2 linked regions of the Notamacropus eugenii genome follow. The protein of the gene in region 1 interacts with the protein of each later gene in a pairwise test. Links are inferred from orthologs where the notes say so. Each region holds a gene or a part of one and is shown in the gene's direction. Other genes may lie near its edges.

Region 1 (3,750 bases):
TATCTCCAGTTTTTGTCGCATGTATCTTGTTTGCGCACAGTTCTTTGCAGCGTTAGACCATGAACTCCTGGAGGAAAGGGACTTTTTTTAACCCTGGTCTACCCAGCGATGGGCATAGTGCCCGGCAGACAGCAGCCGCTGAACAACTGCTGATTGGCCGACTCCTAGAGAACCGGACTGCGTTTCGCCTTTCTCCCGAAGGCTTGCGGACGAGACTTCATCCTTCTAGGAATAAGATACCAGCCTCCAGCTCTCCTGGAGCTTCTAGCCCACCCAAGGTGGGATTCACAGGCGAAGAGAGCGCCATGCACATTAAAAGCGCCTCCACAGGTCGTAAGAAAGAGCAGAAGTAGGCATGAGCCCGGAGGAGTCAGGCACAGCCACCTAGCAAGCCCAGAACACCACCGGCACAGTGGCTAGATCTGAAGACCCGGCGAGGGCCGCCGCGCCGAGGTGGGCTAGAGCTGCCTGTACCGCGCGTCAGCCACGCCCCGAAGTCGGCTGCTTTCTGAGCGGCGCGTGGCTGTGCGCGCTGTGCCCGGGTGCGCTCGGGCCGCACGCGCACGCGCATCACAAGCGCGTACCCCGGTCAGTCTAGACTGAGCGTGTGAGGATTGCGCGGTCTGCGGCGCCGCGTGCGTGTCTGGCCGAGCTCCTCTCTCGGGAGGCCTCGGCTCCCCCTGGCGGCAGCGGGACCGCGGTGGCGGCGGCGGCGGCGGCGGCAGCGGCAGCGGAGGCACTTCGAGCTCAGGCGTTCAGCTCGGGCAGCCGGCGGCGGGGCCTTGCCCGATAACGCGGGGTCCTCAGCTGCCTAGGTGTCTGGGGCCGTCGTCTTCGCGGGCGGCTGTTAGTGCCGCTCCTGTTGGTGCGTCGTACTGGTGACGGCGGCTGCCGGCTGCCGGCCGGGAGGAGCAAGGAGCCCGGAGGAGGGAGGCGGCCCAGGCGGCCCAGGCGGCTCGGAGGCTGTGGGGCCGGCGGAGAGGACGCGGCCGAGGTAGCGGCGGCGGCCGAGGCGCAGGGGGGGAAGATGGCGGACGTGCTGAGCGTCCTGCGCCAGTACAACATCCAGAAGAAGGAAATCGTGGTGAAGGGGGACGAGGTGATCTTTGGCGAGTTCTCCTGGCCCAAGAACGTGAAGACCAACTATGTGATCTGGGGGTGAGTGAAGCTCCGCCGGGGCGCGGGGGGGGTGGGGGGGCGGGCCGGGGAAGGACAGCGCCCCCTCCCCGCTCTCCTGCCCGGACTCCCTGGGGAAAGAGGAGACGGGGGAAGCGGGCGGCGGGGAAAGTTTTCCCCCGACGCCGGAGTTCAGTTCGGGGGCCAGAGGGGCAAAGGAAGGGCCGTCCCTGCCCGTGTCCGCTCCCTTGAAACCTTTAGGGAGCGAGCGGGGGGCGGGACCGAAGGGGTTCTGGGGAGCCTTGGACTCTGGCGGGTCGCTTGGCGTTGTTGGGGCGTCCCTTCCCCCGCCCGCTCGCCCCCCACCTCGCGCTTCCTGCCCGCATTCGTCCTTTCTCCGCCGTCCAGGGGTCCGAGCACGCTGTTGGGGGCACTCAGACGGGGAGGAGGGGGCTAGGTAGGCGGGTGGGAACCTAGCGCAGTTTAGGGATGTCATTGCTAGTCTGGGAGATGGATGATGCCCTGCCAGGGTGGGTGCGAAGGCGGTAGGTGCCTGGTGGACATCAGTCAAGTGGCATGCAGTAATCGCCTACTTTGAGCCAGGCTCCAAGAATGGCAAAAAACCCAGTTCCTGCTCCCCAGAAGTTCACTCTAATGGAGATGAGTAGTTATAAGGAATGAGCCTTTTTAAAAGATGGTGTGATGGAGCAAAGGAATATGATTACCTGTGTGGGCCCTAATTTACCTTTTTAGGTCTGGTTTTTGAACATTAGGAAGTCCCTTTGTGTTTCTTTGCTTTGCTAAAATTGTGATTTATCAGGAATTTGGGGGCACAGGACCCTTACTGTCGTTTACTTACGTCCGTCTTGTGCTTGGTGAGGTTTGTTTTGTCTCCTAACATTTAGGCTCGTGGGAGCCAAAACTTCAGTCTTCTGCAGAGGGAAAGGTGTAGAACTTGAACTATAGTTGAAAGGCCAGGTGAAATTCAGTTATTCTTAGGTAATTTTTGTCATATCGAATTCTTAATACAGAAGAGTTTAATGTTCTTGGTTGATTTTTGTATAGCATGTTATATTCAGTTTTTCTTAAAAGTATCTCCTTAATAAAATTTGCATAGGTTCACAAAACTTTTTAAAATTATTGTGTGTTTTTGTTTTATGAAGCACATTCACTGAGCAGCTAGGGAAGTGTGGAGACAAAAAACAGTGCAAACTCTATTTGAAAGGAGATTACAGTCTATTAGATGTGACACATAGATATTTATTGCTGTGTGATAAATGCCTTGGGACTTAAGAGAAGAAATGTTCACTCTTGACTGTATTTGAGCTGGTTCTTGAAGGATATGCAGAGTTTATACAAGTGGAACTTGGAAAGGGAGGACTTTAAAGGAAGATGAAACTGCATGTGCAACAATATAAGAGGCAAGGTAACTTAGGATATGTTTGAGGAAGTAGTCCAGTTTGAGGGGATTAGAAAAGTAGTAGGAAACCAGGATAGAAAGCTATATTGGGACCTGATTAGGGAGACCTTTGAATCACATATTCAGAATTGTATTGCTGAAGTATAAGGTGTTCCTCCCCCACTCCCCAATTTGGCATGTATTACATTTGTGTACACTGATATCAGTGCTATATCCTTACATACGTATTCATTTTTCCTTTCTAAGACATTCCATTTTAGTCATTGAATTTTTTTAAACAATATGTAGGTTTGGGAAGGAGCTCTTGTGTTTGCAGTAGGCCTAGGGACCTTTAGCAAATAAAGTCCCAGGCAGTTTCCTGAAGCACTGAGATGTTAAGAGTTATAGGATTATTGACCCAGATCTGGAAGAGACTTCAGAGGTTGACTAGTACAACTCCATTCATTTTACAGATGAGAGATATTAGGCCCATGGAGGTTAAGTGACTTGCAAGGTAGTAAATGTGATAGGTAGAATTTGAACCTTAATCCTCTGTATCCAAATTCAGTGTTTTTTCCCCTGTATTATACTACCTCTAAGTACCCAGAGGTAGGATTTAAACCCAGTTCTTCGTACCTCTGGTTCTTCCAAGTAACAGTGTCCCTCCTGAACTTTCTGATAAATTAGCTTGGTATATTGTTCTTAATTTCATATTTTCCTTCTTTTCATAAAAGTGCTAACAGTGAGATTCCCAGAATGTGAGCTGCAAAAAGGAAGAAAAGCCAAACTGTTGAACTTCCTGGCTGGATGATCCAAGCCTGAATGAGAATGGGATGAAAAAAACTTTGCTATGCAAACTGTGATAGAATTGATTTTGTACTTAAAGTTTTAGCATGGCTTTATTAGACTTAACTAACCCAACTGGAAATCACTGTATGAAAGTATCGTGTGTGTGTACATACACACATGTATACTATGTTTTGGAACCTAATATCCTGTGGTGTAGTATTGAATGTGCAAACTAAAGACCTGGGTCAAGGTGTTTTGTGTAAATTTTCTAGGGAGACACTTAATATGATCTAACAGCGATAAAAAGAATATAGTATAGTGACATTTTTCCCATCAAAAGATTTTAAACTATTTTACACTGTCTTCATTCTGTTAATTTAAAAATTGTGCAACATAGAAGTTCAAAACTAATTTGTTTCTTTATGGTGTAACAGAGATATTTAACT
Region 2 (3,750 bases), on another chromosome or scaffold:
GATTGATGTAACATGGCTGAATTCTGGCCATGCTTTTAGATGAAGTATAATTAAGGTTCATATCTGTTATTGTTCAGTTGTGTCAGATTCTTCCTGAATCCTTTTTGGATTTCCTTGGCAAAGATATTGGAATGGCTTGTCATTTCCTTCTCCAACTCATTTTATAGATGAAAAACCTGAGGCCAACAGGATTAAATGTTTTGGCCAGGATTCCACAACTAAGTATCTGAGGTCAGATATGAACTCTTTAAGATGGAAGTTAAATCTGATTCCAGAAATGACACTCTATCCACTGCACCACCCAGCTGCTATTCAAATAACAGTAATAACAGACATATGAATAGCACTTAAGGGGGGCTTTGCTTTCTCTATCTCATTTAGGCTGTATTTCTGGTCTCATTTTTACAAATTAGGCAACTGAGGCACAGAGAGGTTAAATGACAGCCCAGGGGTGTGCAGTTTGGATTCAGTCAAAGAGTTGTACTTGAGGATGTAGGTTCCCCACCCCTTGGCTAGGCAAAGATGAAACATGGTTAAGTGTGGGTGGTATGATTCAAAGGAAGGTCTCCTGACTTCAGTGCCACACTGTGTACTTTACTAAATAGTAATTGTTTCTCTTCTACCTAGGAACCCTGAGAGTCTTCCCCTCCCAGTTTGATTATTTTTTTTTTTTTATTAAAGAAGCCTATTCAGTGAATGGGTGTATCTCACTCAAAGTAAGGATGTGGTAGGACCTTAGCCTGAAAGGGCCAGGTCTTCCATTGCGTCCTGGGCCATCTCCAGATGAAGATCAGGCCACTGGACCCAGAAGGCTCAGGAGAAGAAGGTGAGGTTGGTGACCTTACACAGCCCTCCCTCCCTCAAGTTAAAGTCAACTGCAAGTCATGTCATCCTCTTGACGTCAAGATCGTCTTCGAGAAGGAAAGACAAACACAACATCGGAAGCGTAGCCATCAGTGGGCAGAGCAGCGCGATCACAGGCAGCACCACGAGGTCTCCGAGAACAGCTCGCCTAATCTGCCGCAGCACCTGAGTCTCCGCCCCCTCCCCGACGCGGCCCCGCCCCGACGCGGCCCCGCCCCGACGCAGCCCCGCCCCGACGCGGCCCCGCCCCTCCCCAACTCCTCCACTCATTCAAGGTGGAGCCTCACGTGACGCCGCCGCGCAGGCGCAAACACTAGAGACCGCTGGCAGCGATGGGGGACGCTGCGGGAGTTACGGCGGGCGGGGAGGATACCTACCGGGTCAGTGAGGAGGCCCGAGGCGGCTCCGCATCTTTCCCTTTCTTTTCCAGAGCCTTACAGCTGTTTATATTGTTCCGTGTCCTAGGAGACGGGCTCCACATTTGAACTGCCGGGGAGCCCTGCGCTCGCGGCCCTCCCGCCGCCTTCCGGGCGTGTGTGTGTGTGGTGGGGGATGGGAGGCTGGGGAGCCCGGACCCCACTTCCTCCCGGCCTGGCCCTGGTGGCACCTTGGCGGAAGCCTTCCTCTTGTTTGGGGGTCCCCCCGCAAAACTGCCGTCCTCGTGTGGGGGGAGGGAGAAGGGGGCCGGGCCGGCTTGTCTTTGAAATCTTTGAAATGGGAGGGGGGCAAGGCTCGTTCTGGGCAGCCCCCTATTTGTATACTCTTCGAACCCCGTTTTCGTTTGACCTGTTGTTGCCGGGCATGATGCAAATAAGTTTACACCATGGCTTGGTGAAGCACACGGGTGGGAGTTGGATCCGTCTACACGGCATTCTGCGTTGATGTGGATACAAAGGGGCCTTAAAAGTTGAGCTGCCCTTTTCCCTGGTTCATCCTTTAAAGGCGCCCCAACGGTTGAGCTGCCCTTTTCCTGGCCCCTTAAAGTCTCCGCTTATCTTGGAATACCATAAAATACCGCAAAACTTCCCCCTTGTCCTTGGAATTCCTTGTCTCCCCTCCCCCGTCCTGGGTCATGAGATGCCCTTGTCTCCCTTATCCTGTCCTTATGAAAACAAGCCCCTGCCCCTCTGTAATTGCTAATCCTTCTTCCTGCTAAAAGCCGGCTGCTTTCACTGCAGTAAAGCTCCCAGTGGCTACAGAAGATTATGCACTTAAGTAGATTCTTTTTTTTCGAGACCCAGAGTGGAGGCCAGTTTGGGGCCTGATTTCTTAGGGGGGCAACCTAAGGCCATTCATGGGATTTTTGTACCAGAGAACACTTATACAGACTATGCATACATGCCATACTTCATGGGGTATTGTCATTTTTACAGTTGGGGGTGATGAGATGGGAAAAGTCATTCAAGAAATAGTTGTTAAACATCCAGAAAAGGAAGTGTTGATTACAGAGGGTTAGTTAACAGTCTATGACAGACCAATTGCCCTTTTTTGATAGGGTTACTGAACTGGGAGCTGAGGAGAATGCCATACAGGTCCTTTACATAGATTTTTAACAAAGTTGATATGCAGTATTTAATACTATTTATGTGGAGGAGATAAAGAGATGTACACTAGCTTATAGTACAATTGGATGGATTCAGAACTTGGGGGATAGCTGGAATTCATTTATCAGGAGGAGTTTTGTGATGTATTTTAAGCATCTGTCCTTAGCTTGGTCCTGTGACATTTCAGTCAATGACTTAGATAATAATACAGTATTCTTGTCCATTTGCAGGTGGTATAAAGCTGAGACGGGTAACTAACACAAGATAATAGAGTCAGTATCCGAAAAAAATCTTGACAGATTAGTAGAATAGCATCTAGTAAGATAAAATGCAATAGGGTTAAGTTTACAATTGTGTATTTGGGTACAGGAAATCAGCTTCACCAATACAAATTGGAAGAGGCATAGTTTTCAGTTTCAGAAAAGGTCTGGAGATTTTAATGGACTATTAAGTTTAATTTGAGTTAGCAGTAGTATATGGCAGTCCTCAGAGCCAAAAAGGGCTTGTGTTACATTAATAGAAACAGGCAAAAAGAGTAGATAATCCCACTAGACAGGTGGGTGGCAAAAGTGAATACAGTGCCTGATCTGGAGTCAGGAAGACTCATCTTCTGGAGTTCAAATATAATCTTAGACACTAACTAGTCAGTGTGACCCTGGGCAAGTCAATTAACCGTCTTTGCCTGTTTCTCTTTCTATAAACTGAGCTGGAGAAGGAAATGGCAAGCCACTCCAGTATCTTTGCCAAGAAAACCTCCAGTGGGATCCCGAAGAGTCAGACATGACTCAGCAATAACAATAACAATTCCACCGTATTCTGCCCTGTTTAGACTTACCTGGAACAGTATGTTCAGTTTTGAGAATTGCATTTTAAGAGGCTGTTGTTAAATTGAGGAATACTAAGAGGAAGGCGATAGAATACTAAACAGCCTTGAGTCTACATGATATGACAGTCTGTCAAAAGGACTGAGGATATTTAGATTAAAGGAGAGAAGACTCAAGGAGAACATGGTAGCTGTCCCTAAGTATTTGAAGAGTTATCATGTAGAAGAAGGATTAGATTTGTTCAGTTTTGTTCTGGAGGGCAGAGCCCCCAGGTGGTAGAAGTTACAAAGAAGCACATTAAGATTTGATGTCAGCACTGTTTTTTAAAAGTGTGATGAGGTTGTGGATTTTCCTTCCTAGAAGGTCTTCAAACATATGCTACATGACCTTTTGTCATGCATGTCTATAATGGGAATTCTTTTCAGGTATAGATTGGACCAGATGGTTACTGAGGTCTTTGCTCACCCTCAGGTTGTGTCAGTGTGATTCTTTTGTCACCCATGTAGTTCACTAGTACT

What was found.
Region 2: the proteins of CDC73 (region 1) and HSF2BP interact in binary tests that used the Homo sapiens proteins (3 or more experiments, as listed by UniProt). The link is inferred for Notamacropus eugenii from reciprocal best matches to the Homo sapiens genes CDC73 and HSF2BP.

What each region holds. Positions count from the first base shown.
Region 1 is NC_092873.1:449,563,771-449,567,520, reverse strand, and holds the start of CDC73 (parafibromin), read left to right. Parts: upstream 1-1,027; coding exon 1,028-1,158; intron 1,159-3,750.
Region 2 is NC_092876.1:415,254,247-415,257,996, forward strand, and holds the start of HSF2BP (heat shock factor 2-binding protein), read left to right. Parts: upstream 1-1,093; 5' UTR 1,094-1,196; coding exon 1,197-1,244; intron 1,245-3,750. UniProt on the Homo sapiens protein: Meiotic recombination factor component of recombination bridges involved in meiotic double-strand break repair.